Linked DNA regions of Stegostoma tigrinum. The protein of the gene in region 1 interacts with the protein of each later gene in a biochemical or structural test. Links are inferred from orthologs where the notes say so. Each region holds a gene or a part of one and is shown on either strand. Other genes may lie near its edges.

Region 1 (7,074 bases):
GAAATGCTGGTGTAAGAAGATTCAATGACAATTTTTAAAAGGGAATTGGGTAACTAACTCAAGGGGACAAAAATTGCAAGGTTATGGAGAAAGAACAGAGTAAATGAGACGACAGTGGACATCTCTTCCAAAGAGCTGACACAGGCACAACAGGCCAAATGGCCTCCTTCTCATCTTATGATAAGAAACCCAATATCTAATGGACATACATATGAAGAAATGTTTCTAATATCACTTCGTTCCTCACCCTCCTGCTGGCAGGATTATTTTGGTGACCATTTCTCACTGATTACCCATAGAATTTCCCCACATCTCCTATCAAAACCATTTTCAAAATCATTATTAAAGTCTCATTTAACCTTTTCAGTCAACAGTCTCTACACTTGAAATCCCTCTCCATAACTACAATTTCTCAATTCTAACATCGTGTGCATATGAAACCCATTTTATGACCTGATTCCACCCACAATGTTGACAATAAATCTTACTATCCACAAGCAAAGGTAAACTCATAATCCAGGCAGCTGTGAGTATCAGCACCACTGTGCCAGCCAATTAGTTTGAGCAAGAGGTTTGATTTTAATTTGAGACAACAAGGTGTGGAGCTGGATGATCACAGCAGGCCAAGCAGCATCAGAGGATCAGGAAAGCTGACATTTCAGGTCTAGACCCTTCTACAGAATTGGGTGAGGGGAAGGGGTTTCTGAAATAAATAGGGAGAAAGGGGGATGCGGATAGCAAATGGATAAAGGAGAAGATAGGTGGAGAGGAGACAGACATGTCAAAAAGGCGAGGATGGAACCAGTAAAGGTGAGTGTAGGACAGACAGGTCAAGGAGGCGGGATGAGGCTGGTAGGTAGGAGATGGGGGTGGGGCTTGAGGAGGGAGGAGGGGATAGGTGGGAGGAAGGAAAGGTTAGAGAGGCGGGTGCGAGCTGGGATGGTTTTGGGATGCATCTGGGGAAGGGGAAATTTTACAGTTTATTAGAAGTCCTAAGGTACAGCAAACTGTTCGGGTGGCATCATTGTGGCACTGCAGGAGGCCCATGATGGACATGTCATCTAAAGAATGGGAGGGGGAGTGGAAATGGTTTGCGACTGGGAGGTGCAGTTGTTTATTGCGAACCGAGCGAAGGTGTTCTGCAAAGCGGTTCCCAAGCCTCCGCTGGGTTTCCCCAATGTAGAGGAAGCCACACTGGGTACAGTGGATGCAGTATACCACATTGGCAGATGTGCAGGTGAACTTCTGCTTAATGTGGAAAGTCATCTTGGGGCCTGGGATAGGGGTGAGGGAGGAGGTGTGGGGGCAAGTGTAGCATTTCATGTGGTATACTGCATCCACTGTACATCCACTCTACATTGGGGAAACCCAGCGGAGGTTTGGGGACCGCTTTGCAGAACACCTCCGCTCGGTTAGCAATAAACAACTGCACCTCCCAGTCGCAAACCATTTCCACTCCCCCTCCCATTCTTTAGATGACATGTCCATCATGGGCCTCCTGTAGTGCCACAATGATGCCACCCGAAGGTTGCAGGAACAGCAACTCATATTTCGCTTGGGAACCCTGCAGCCCAATGGTATCAATGTGGACTTCACCAGTTTCAAAATCTCCCCTTCCCCCACCGCATCCCAAAACCAGCCCAGTTCGTCCCCTCCCCCCACTGCACCACACAACCAGCCCAGCTCTTCCCATCCACCCACGGCATCCCAAAACCAGTCCAACCTGTCTCTGCCTCCCTAACCTGTTCTTCCTCTCACCCATCCCTTCCTCCCACCCCAAGCCGCACCTCCATCTCCTACCCACTAACCTCATCCCACCTCCTTGACCTGTCCGTCTTCCCTGAACTGACCTATCCCCTCCCTACCTCCCCACCTACACTCTCTCCACCTATCTTCTTTTCTCTCCATCTTCGGTCCGCCTCCCCCTCTCTCCCTATTTATTCCAGAACCCTCACCCCATCCCCCTCTCTGATGAAGGGTCTAGGCCCGAAACGTCAGCTTTTGTGCTCCTGAGATGCTGCTGGGCCTGCTGTGTTCATCCAGCCTCACATTTCATTATCTTGGATTCCCCAGCATCTGCAGTTCCCATTATCACCGTGTTCTAACAAAAGCTGGACTCCTTCTTCAGCCAAATGCAGGAGGTGGGCAGTAGAATATAATGTAAAATTAGGCATGTAAAACCATTCTAGTCACTTTCAACAGTTCAATCTTCAGACATGGTTGACAGGAAATTAACTGCATCAACTCAGTCGTCAATGGGAGTTATGGCATCACTATTAGCAACCAGCTAATTTGGTTTGGTACTCTAAAGTACAGAACTGAGGGAATGCAGCCTTTTCATGAGATGCTGTCTTGTGAAAAAATAAACCAAGGTTCGATTTACCTTGATAATATATTTTAAAAGTTGCATGGTGTTACTCTATTAAATTAAAGATCTTTTTTAAGAGTCCTGGCCAACAGTGCTGCCTCAACCCCATATAATAAAGCCAGTCACTCATCATTTGCGTTAGTTGGCACAGATTAATTGCTGCAAGACATGTACTATGTGAAACACTTTGAGGCCTTTCAATAACATGAGAAGAAACTTGCAAAGTATTACAGTTTGTTAGTTCAACGCCAAGGGAACTTATCTTTGAAAATGTGCAAAACCCTGTCATAATCAAGAACAGAAAGTATTGAGTCACACTAAATCACAAAGAGAGTTTTGTTTAACAAGTAAACCTTCAGTCAGATCACTGTCTCAGAGCAGACATGTCTCTCAGGCTCAAAACATTCAACTTAAAATCATGCAGCTTTTAAACGAAACATTAGAAAGGAGAAAAACATAAGCTACAAAAGAACCTTACACAATAATGGTAATACAGTAGGAATGTCCAGCTGGCTAGCTACAGAATTACTCCAGAGATTTCTCAGAATTTTATTAGGAGCAACCAACTTACCCGAGTTCAAGTCCAGCGATGAATGAAAATGCTGGTACTTGCACAAATAGTGCAGTGTTCAGTGGTAGAGATAATCTTCTCCATATCCAGGAAGTGAATAATTTGTGCTAACAGCTGCTGTGTGCACTGACCTCTCTCCCTCTCTGCAGTTTATACTTTCAGCTCTCCTGTATTTCGCAATCATTGAAGATTACAATTTAAAGTGACAGGGTAGGTCTGTATTTGTCAGCTTCTGAACAATTGCTGGACGAGGAGACATTTCGATAAATATGCTGCTGAATAAAAATAGAAAGTCTCCCATTGTCCTTGCCAACCTTGCAAATACATTCCTAAAGGAAATAATTGGGGCAAAAGCATCATTTTCAATTATCCTTAACAAAAGTCATGTGTCACAGAGATCATTACAGTGAGAAAATTGCCCATTCAGCCCTTCGAGTCCACAGCAACCCTCCAAAGAGCATTTCACGCAGACCCACTCCTTTACTTGTGAGAGCATGGAATGCGTTGCCAGCAGCAGTTGTGGAAGCAAGGTCATTGGGGTCATTTAAGAGACTGCTGGACATGCATATGGTCACAGAAATTTGAGGGTGCATCCATGAGGATCAATGGTCGGCACAACATTGTGGGCTGAAGGGCCTGTTCTGTGCTGTACTGTTCTATGTACTGTTCTATGTTCTATGTTTACTCTATCCCTGTATTTCCCATGGCTAAACACCCCTAGCATGCACATCCCTGGACTCTACAGGGTAATTCAGTCTGGCCAATCTACTTAACCCACACACCTTTGGACTGCAGCAGGAAACTGGAGCACCCAGAGGAAACCCACACAGACATGGGGAGAATGTGCAAACTTCATACAGACAGTTGTCCAAGGCTGGAATCAAACCTGAGACCTTGATGCTGTGAGACAGCAGTGCCAGCCATTGAGCCACCTTGCCACCTTCACACACTACATTTGAGTATCTCAACAGCAACTCTAGGCTGCAGGATGATGGTTGAATTCATTTCCCAGTTCTGCATACACCCAAAGGCCTAAGTCTTGTTGACATGTGGTTTACTAGGTATTACCAGCATATTCGATAATACACCAAACGTGGGGCTTCAATATAATGCACTGGTAGGTTATTCAACCACAGACCTGTCTTCTCTAAGTGTCCACACAAAAGCACTTTGGAGCAGCATTATGGGCTCTTGTATAACCCCATCTCCCTCTTTTCCCTCCTTTCTCTAACCTGGTGTGGCTGAGCCCAATTGTAGCCAGATCAATTTAGCCCATGCTAAAATAAAAACAGGAAATGCTGTAAATACTCTATCAGATGCCCTTCAGAAATTTATGTATATTCCTTCAACAGTCAAACCCATGAGATGATTTTCTGAAGAAGGGTCCTGACCCAAACCTCAGCTTTCCTGCTCCTCTGATGCCGCCTGGCCTGCTGTGTTCCTCCCGCTCCATACTGTGTTATCTCTAAATAGGAATCTGATATAGGTTTCCTTATTGTTCAGATGTTCCAGGGATGAGTGAAGGGTCAGGGAGATGGTGCCTGCCATGGATGGTGGCCTATTCGTCCCTAGAATATTTTTCTTTACTCCTTTATGCACCAGTGGATTCACTTTATTGTCTGTAGGAAGCAGAGAATAGCATTATTTTTCCTAAGTGGTGCAAGATCATTTAGCAAGGCAAATTGGCTCACTTTGCAACACACGGATGAATCATGCCAGAGGTTTGGCAACTGCATTCCCAAATACCTTATTAACATCGAAGAGAAGGTAAGAAATAGTATGGTGCAAATCTTATGTATTTCGCTAACAAACAACTGAAATTCATGAATGTCATTACTCATTTGTGGGATGGGCAGAACGTCGTTCTGGTTTGAGGTGAGCATTCTGTCAGTGATGAACACCTCTCAGGGTTCTACTGCAAATTATCTCCCCAACTTTCTAAATCTTGAAACATGTGATGAATGTCTTAGTGCCATTACGCAAATACGGCCAAATGTGAAATAATAGGATTTAAAGGAGAGATGTCAGACAGTAAGTAAAGAGAAGAGGACAGGGACAACAGAAGGAAAACCTGCCAGAAATGGCTGGAGTTAAAAGTGAGGTACAGAAACAGAGTTAAAGCAGAGATGGGGAATGACAGAGATACAGTAAAGGGAATGAAAGGGCATAGGACACTGAGTGTATGGACTCAGAAGCAACAAATAATTTAAATTTTAATCATGAAATGGAAGGATAGGGGATGCACGTAGAGATCATCAGAGGGGTGAATCTAATGACTGTAACAAGGTTCAGCCAGTGAATCTAAAGGGAATGGAATATTAAAGTGATGGGATTAGGATTCAATAAAAGTCTAAATGGGTGAATTTGGAGAAATGGTAGGGTGTAGGGCGGAGGAAATTCAACTCACACCATTTACAGAAGAGAAAGAAGGGCATCATCAGAATGCTCGCCCAAAAATGACAGAGACCTCCAGAGGGTCAGACCTCGCTTGAACTAAATCTGCAAGGCGCAGATGTCCGTTTGGTTTTCCAATGTAGCTTGCTGGATAATAATGGAATATTGATTGGATTAGACAGCTGTTGAGGGAGCACAAGAGAGATTCTCTATACAGTGGGACTGAGCACTGACCGACAATGACCAGCAGCTTATATGGGTATGTGTATTTACATACTTCGGTTCCTCCCGGCTCCACGGAAATTAAACTTTGAATAAGTTTTCTTCCTTATCAACCTGCTTCAGATAAGACCATAAGACACATTAGCGATGCCTTTCCAGTCCATGCAGGGCAAATGGACTTATGTTGAACATAAGATTTTTCCATTTACCAGCCCCAGTTATAGCTTGGCTCTGTAACAGGCATGAGAACATCAATTCACTGATGCTTAGTGCCCAGTGCCTGCTTCAGGCAAGCACCTGTAACATCTAGAAGTTACCAGACAACAAAAGGTTGAACTTTGGGCTGGAGGGCTCCGGTTCAAGATGTGAAGATGGGGCTCAACGTCTCGAGTGAGTCCTTTGGAAGCACAATTGTATCTGGGACTAGTTTGAGAAACAGTCAGATGTTGTAAGGGAAAGATCAAAGGAGCTGTAGGAAATTCTTGGCTGTGGAGAGAATGTTCCCACTTGTGGCTGAGTCCAGAACTAAGGGATACTGTTGTAAAATTAGGGGATTGGACATTTTGGGCAGAGATGAGGATATTTTCTCTCAAAATGCTGTGCGGCTCTGCCTCAGATGGTGGTGGAGACAGTCACAGTTTCATACATTCTTGTTTCAAAAGGGACCGGGAGACTATAGGGCTTAGACAGGAATGTGGAATTCAAAACAAGTAGATCAGCCACGATGTTATTGAATGAATGATGGAGCAGGTTGGAGGGACTGAGTGGCCTGTCTTCATTCCTAGTTCATACGTTTGTCTGTTCTCCATCTGGTGATCGTGCGATGCATTAGAAATTGTAATTACAATGATACTGTATTGGTAATTCAGAAACTCAGACTACTGTTTTGCATTGGGCTTAAATCCCACCACATCAATTGCTTAAAGTTCCGTAAATTCCATAAGTATTTGGAATTTAAAAAAAACAGTCCAATGATGACCATGTAACTGCTGTTGATTGTTGTAAAATGCCCATCCTGTTCAGCAATGCCCTTCGAGGGAAGGAAACCTGCCATCCTTACCTGGCCAGGCCTACATATGCCCCCCCACCCCACACCAACACTAACACCAACACGGTTAACATTTATCTATCCTGGGGGCAATTAGAGATAAGCAATAAATGCTGGCCTAGCCTCTGATGTCCACATCCCATGCACAAATAAATTGATGTTTATAAGTGTTTTCGGGTAATTGTACAAAAACCTCATCAAAAAATTTTACCTCTCCAAAAATCCAGTAATGAATTGGGTTCTTCTGACCTAGTTACAACTGCACTAACTTTGCTTTCATCTGGAGTACAATGTAAAGTATTAATTTCCTTAAATAAGGATAGATATTAATGCATCAGAAACCATTCAGAGGTTTACTAGACTGATACAAGGAATGAGTAGCTTGAGGTATGAGGAAATATTGAGCAGGCTCCACTTGATCCACTGAGGTCTAGAAGAGGTGACTTGATTGAAACATATACAATCCTGAGG
Region 2 (6,899 bases), on another chromosome or scaffold:
AAAATGTTGTGAAATGAAGAATAGTCAAGGTCTTTTGATCAGGGTGAGGGAGTCCAAAACTAGAGGGCATAGGTTTAAGGTGAGGGAAAGGATTTAAATGGGACAACTGTTTCACACTCAAGGTGGTGCGTGTATGGAATGAGCTGCCAAGGGAAGTGATGGAGGCTGGTACAATTACAACATGTAAAAGGCATCTGGATGGGTATATGAATAGGAAGGGTTGACAGGGAAATGGGCCAAATGCCAGCAAATGGGACTAAATTTATTTCTGATTTCTGGTCAGCCTGGACGAGTTGAACCGAATTGTCTGCAAATGCTGCACAAGTCTATGACTTTACTTGTGCCAGTGTTTCAGCAGCTAAGGTAATTTTAACTCCTTCTGTCTTTTTAAAAAAAAAACTTGCCTTCCCAGCCAGCCTAAAGCAGTGTTTATTCATCATCACCAAGAATGCACCATATTAGAATATTATCTGGAAGACTATGATGTGATATCTATGATATCTAAAACCAATTAAGTTTCCACCTTCTGAATCACTCAAGGTTAGAAACTTGGGAGCACATTTCAAACAGACTTCTCTACTCTCGGATTCACAATTAGATTGTTTGAACTACATTCCCAGCAGTACAGTGCTTAAAGAGCTAAGCTCTTCAAGATCACTGCTCCTGCGACAAGGGAGTTTACTCTAACGTTATAGTCACGGCTTTTCTTCAAAACATGAGATGCTGGTCTGGTCCCTTAAAAAGGAGTACTGTTTCAACATATATCCATCTGTACAATAAGCCCACCTGTCTCTCCATCAGGTAGCTCTGTATACATCTACAAGACCACTGTCATCATACAGAATCATAGCAACATTACCTCCCACTGTCCACACTAATACTACTGTTGCTACATACAATCATGTGTTACCTTCCACTGTGCAGACCACACCAGTCACCATAGAAAACACAATGTGGTACAGTGCTTGTATCAAAACCATTGTCACTCTATAGAATGACAGCAACACACTACGTTGTCTATGGTCACAGTGGTGTGGGTATAAAGGACCACAGAAAGACAAATTCCTGTAGTGTCTGTAACACTGTAGCTATATAGAACCAGGGCTTTTATTTCCACTGACCCTATGTAGTATCAGCTGCAGAACGACCTCCCCAATGATATCTCCAATCTCCCTTCAGCCCTAGCTCCACCTTCCACTCTTTTCCTTACCCTCCCCAACCCGCTCTCTCCTGCAGTCACACCTTCAACTCCTTTCTCCTCTTTCAGCACCACTTTCCCTTCCCAGTCTCCTCTCCCTCATCAGCTCACACTACCACATCTAACCACCCACATTCCCACTAAGATTACGGCAGCTATCCAATGGGCCATTACTAAGGATCATTTGTTTACTTTACCTCAACCCCCCCCCAACCAAAAGAACCCTTGCACATTGTTTAAACAGATACATCTTCTTGAATGCCTTAACCGTCTTCACAACACTTCAACGGTTCAGTGCAGACCCAAACCATACACAGACACACAGTTTTGCTCCGAGCACATTTATTTTTCTGCAGACCACTGAAAATCTCTCCCTGGAACAAGAGTCACTCTTCTCCCCGCACCACCCTCACCCTGCCCCACCCCTACCTGTGGCAGGGAGCCACTCCTCTCCCCCCAAACCAGGCAAGGAGTCACTCCTTGCCCTCTCCTCTCTCTCTGCCACTCCATTTCCCTGTTCCACCTCTCTGGGACGGGAGTCGCTCTCCCCACCTCCACCCCACCCCACCCCCTCTCCCTCACCTCTCTGGGACGGGAATCGCTCTCCCCACCTCCACCCCACCCCACCCCCTCTCCCTCACCTCTCTGGGACAGGAATCGCTCTCCCCACCTCCACCCCACCCCACCCCCTCACCCTCACCTCTCTGGGACAGGAATCACTCTCCCCACCTCCACCCCACCCACCCCGTCTCTGGGACAAGAGTCAGAGTCACTCTCTCCTTCTCCACTCAAACCTGCCCCCATCTGGGACAAGAGTCAGAGTCACTCTCTCCTTCTCCACTCAAACCTGCCCCCCTCTGGGACAAGAGTCAGAGTCACTCTCTCCTTCTCCACTCAAACCTGCCCCCCTCTGGGACAAGAGTCAGAGTCACTCTCTCCTTCTCCACTCAAACCTGACCCCTCTGGGACAGAAGTCACTCTCCCCTCCTCCACTCAAACCCAACCCCACCACCGTACTCTCTGGGACGGGAGTCACTCTCCCTACCTCCACTCAGAACGTGACCCCCGCACTCTCCAGGACAGGAGTCACTCTTAGACTCACCTTCTTCATGATGCCAGTCTTCCTCTTGCTGAAGGTCGTGTATCTCCTCAGTTTGTTATCGATAAATTCCATTTTAATTTTCACTCTGCCCCTAGTTTTCTTGCCAGGCTTTAGTCCGGCTCCTGGTGCAGTCCCTCCTGGGGCCGACGCTGCCCCATAGCCTCCAGCCGGCGCTAAGCTCCCCGGACCAGGCTCTAGCCCCGGGCCGTGTCCGCTCACCCCTGCCAGGCCCGCCGCAGCCGCTGCTTCCAGGTCGGACAGGCGCCTTTTGACCCCCCGCCTGTCAAGCGGAGCCGGGGCCGAGGCGACCACCAGCTCCTCGTCCTCGTCGCTGCTGGGTTCCGAGCAGCTGTAAGGGGGCCCAGGCAGCGGGGCTTCTCTGTCCCGGGACACCAGCACGGCAGCGGCTGCTGCCTGGGGGCCCGGGCCCGGGGCCGGGGCCGCTGGCTGCAGGCTGCCCGCCGGTGATGACGACGAGCTGTTGGGCTCAGGAGGAGCGGTGCCGGCCGGACTCTGCAGCATGGCCCCCGGGAGCGGGGGAGAAAGAGTGACCCCTGCCCCGGTCTAGTCCCTAAATCTCAGTCAGAGCCGATCTCTCCTTGTTATCTTTCGGGGCCACTTGTCCCGGTCTCACCCAGGTCTTTTCCAATCTATCGCCGCTCTTAGTCCGGTTCTGCTCTTGGAATAATCCCAATCCGTCCTAGTCCTTTACCCGGTCTATCCCCCCCACCCCCCAAAGTGCACCCCCGTCTATCACCCCCCCCCGACCCCCCCCCCCCGGTCTGTCCCTCCACACCCAGTCTGTTCCCGGTCTCTTCTCCGTTTCCCCCCCCCCCCTGCGACTCCCAGTCTAACGCCGGGGACACTGTCTACAATGTGGAAGCCAGAGACACCGGGAAAGGAAACCTCAGCCGCATTACTCTCAACCACACTACACTACACATTAAAATAGTGCCAGGCTAAGTGCCCCCTCTCCTCAGCCAGACCCTCCCTGACCCGTCCGGAAAATACCTTTCGCCTCCCTCCCACCTAGGCCCTGGGCAGTAGCGTCCTCGGAATCCGCAGAATCCACTACTCTTAGGGGCTGAGGCGTGCAGGCGGAGAGCAGTGATACGGCCTATACCCGGCACTATTTCCACCATATAAAGACACAATGTTTCCTTTTATGGCGCGGCCGCTCCTTATTTGGTGAGTCACCGCTCAGCTCGCTGATTGGTCCAGAGCCGAGGCCCCAACCCCCACCCGGAATAATCCACATACCAGAGAGACCAGGGCCAGAGACAGTGGACAGGACAGAGAGAGGGGACAAACTCAGACACAGTGGACTGGACAGAAATGCCACGGCCAGATGTGTTAGTGTGGACAGACAGGAGAAAATGGACAAGACAGAATGGATGGGAGTGCACAGACACAGAGGACAGAATGAATTGGAGAAAATGCTCCCAGCCCACAAGACAGGTTAGAGTATGCTGAACAAGCTGACCACAGTGTTCATCATGTTCAGTCTGGGGAAGATTATAGCTACCTCAATCTGAATCCTGAAGTGAAAAAGTTTTTACAGCACAAAAAGAGGCCACTCAGCCCGGTGTGTCCCAACCAATCTTTTCTATCCCCTCCCCTGTCTGCTTTCCGGAGAGACCACTCTCTCCGTGACTCCCTTGTTCGCTCCACACTGCCCTCCAACCCCACCACACCCGGCACCTTCCCCTGCAACCGCAGGAAATGCTACACTTGTCCCCACACCTCCTCCCTCACCCCCATCCCAGGCCCCAAGATGACATTCCACATTAAGCAGAGGTTCACCTGCACATCTGCCAATGTGGTATACTGCATCCACTGTACCCGGTGCGGCTTCCTCTACATTGGGGAAACCAAGCGGAAGCTTGGGGACCGCTTTGCAGAACACCTCCGCTCAGTTCGCAACAAACAACTGCACCTCCCAGTCGCAAACCATTTCCACTCCCCCTCCCATTCTCTTGATGACATGTCCATCATGGGCCTCCTGCACTGCCACAATGATGCCACCCGAAGGTTGCAGGAACAGCAACTCATATTCCGCCTGGGAACCCTGCAGCCATATGGTATCAATGTGGACTTCACCAGTTTCAAAATCTCCCCTTCCCCTACTGCATCCCTAAACCAGCCCAGTGCATCCCCTCCCCCCACTGCACCACACAACCAGCCCAGCTCTTCCCCCCTACCCACTGCATCCCAAAACCAGTCCAACCTGTCTCTGCCTCCCTAACCGGTTCTTCCTCTCACCCATCCCTTCCTCCCACCCCAAGCCGCACCCCCAGCTACCTACTAACCTCATCCCACCTCCTTGACCTGTCCGTCTTCCCTGGACTGACCTATCCCCTCCCTACCTCCCCACCTACACCCTCTCCACCTATCTTCTTTACTCTCCATCTTCGGTCCGCCTCCCCCTCTCTCCCTATTTATTCCAGTTCCCTCCCCCCATCCCCCTCTCTGATGAAGGGTCTAGGCCCGAAACGTCAGCTTTTGTGCTCCTGAGATGCTGCTTGGCCTGCTGTGTTCATCCAGCCTCACATTTTATTATCTTGGAATCTCCAGCATCTGCAGTTCCCATTATCTCCAATCTTTTCTATTCCCATTTTCTAATGCTTGATAGGACAGAGGCCAGTCCACAGAACTGTCCGGAACAGATTGATCAATGTCGAGCCCAGACAGAACATTATACATAGCTATGGCATTTCAAATGCTCATCTAAATACTTATGAAATCTCTTGAGGGTTTCTGCTTCTGCCAACCTCTTAGGTAATGAGTTCCAGATAACCGCAACCATCTAGGGGCAAATGAATTTCCTCCAAACCCATTTAAACCTGTTGCCCCTTAAAAACTGTGCCCTTGGTTATTGACCCCTCGACTTAGGGATAAGGTTCCTCCCCATGTACTATTTATTACTGTAAGAACTTTGTACACCTTAAGCAGAAGCCCCTTCAGCCTTCTCTGTCCAAAGGAAAACAGTCCTAGACTGTCTAGCCTCTCTTCATAGCTGAATCATTCCAGCCCAAGCAGCATCCTAGTGAATCTCCTCTGCATTTTCTTTTTTGCAGTAATTCCTTCCCATTGGGTAGTGACCAGAACTGCACACAGTCCTTCAGCTATGGCATAATCAATGTTATCCACAACTCATTCACAACCTTCTTGCTCCACTAATAAAGGCAAGTCTCCTATATGCTGCCTTAAGCAGCTTATCCATCTGCCCTCCAGCCTTCAAGAATCTAAATGATGATGCAAATTAACATCCTTCTGATCCCCTGTACTTCCTACAGTGCTATCTTTCAAACGGTACTCCTTTGTCTTGATGGTCCTTCCAAAACACATCACCTCACACTTCTGGATTAAAATCCATTTGCTACTGTTCAATCCATCTGATCAACCCCTTTATATCCCCCTGTAATCTAAGGCTTTCTTTCTTGCTATCTACCACACCAACCTTTTTCATTTTACCTCCAAACGTACACAAACATATGTTGATCATTAATGTACGCGACAAAGCAGCAGTGAACTCGGTGGTACACAACTGAACACAGGCTTCCAGTGACACAAACACAGTTCTTCATTATCATTTGCTTCCTGCCAGGAAGCCAATTTTGTATCTAATTTGACAAAGTGCCCTAGATTCTATGGGTTCTTACCTTCTTAACTAGTCTGCCATCCAAGACCTTGTCAAAAGCCTTGCTAATGTACATATAGACACCATCAACTGCACAATCATCATCTACACATCTAGCCACCTCCTTGAAAAACTCAAATATAATCTGTCAGAACCATCAGCCTTCCTGCTCCTCGAAAACTGCTTGGCCTGCTGTGTTCATCCAGTTCTACGCCTTGTATATCTCAGACCTCATTGCGCCCGAGCAAAATCACTGCGGATAGAACAAAGAAAATTACAGCACAGGAACAGGCCCTTCAGCCCTCCAAGCCTGCACTGACTAAGATCCTCTGTCTAACCTGTCATCTATTTTCTCAGGGTCTGTGTCCATCTGCTCCCTGCCCATCCATGTACCTGTCCAGATATATCTTAAAAGACGTTAACGTGTCTGCGTCTACCACCTCCACTGGCAACGCGTTCCAGGCACCCACCACCCTCTGCGTAAAGAACTTTCCACGCATATCTCCCCTAAACTTTCCTCCTCTCACTTTGAACTCATGACTCCTAGTAATTGAGTCCCCCACTCTGGGAAAAAGCTTTTTGCTATCCACCCTGTCTATACCCCTCATGATTTTGTAAACCTCAATCAGGTCCCCCCCTCAATCTCTATCTTTCTAATGTAAGTAATTCTAATCTACTCAACCTCTCTTCATAGCTAGCACCCTCCATACCAGGCAACATCCTGGTGAACCTCCTCTGCACCCTCTCCAAAGCATCCTTTTGGTAATGTGGCGACCAGAACTGTACACAGTACTCCAATGTGGCCGAACCAAAGTCCTATACAACTGCAACATGACCTGCCAACTCTTGTACTCAACACCCTGTCCGATGAAGGAAAGCATGCCATATGCCTTCTTGACCACCCTATTGACCTGCGTTGCCACCTTCAGGGAACAATGGACCTGAACATCCAGATCTCT

Evidence for each region. The genes of interacting proteins can lie anywhere in the genome.
Region 2: the proteins of ETS domain-containing protein Elk-1-like (region 1) and serum response factor-like form a complex in vitro, tested with the Homo sapiens proteins (2 studies listed by BioGRID). The link is inferred for Stegostoma tigrinum from reciprocal best matches to the Homo sapiens genes ELK1 and SRF.

What each region holds. Positions count from the first base shown.
Region 1 is NC_081364.1:11,900,044-11,907,117, forward strand, and holds the start of ETS domain-containing protein Elk-1-like, read right to left. Parts: upstream 3,004-7,074; 5' UTR 2,940-3,003; intron 1-2,939. UniProt on the Homo sapiens protein: Transcription factor that binds to purine-rich DNA sequences. Forms a ternary complex with SRF and the ETS and SRF motifs of the serum response element (SRE) on the promoter region of immediate early genes such as FOS and IER2.
Region 2 is NC_081357.1:7,496,744-7,503,642, forward strand, and holds the start of serum response factor-like, read right to left. Parts: upstream 3,021-6,899; 5' UTR 2,823-3,020; coding exon 2,301-2,822; intron 1-2,300. UniProt on the Homo sapiens protein: SRF is a transcription factor that binds to the serum response element (SRE), a short sequence of dyad symmetry located 300 bp to the 5' of the site of transcription initiation of some genes (such as FOS).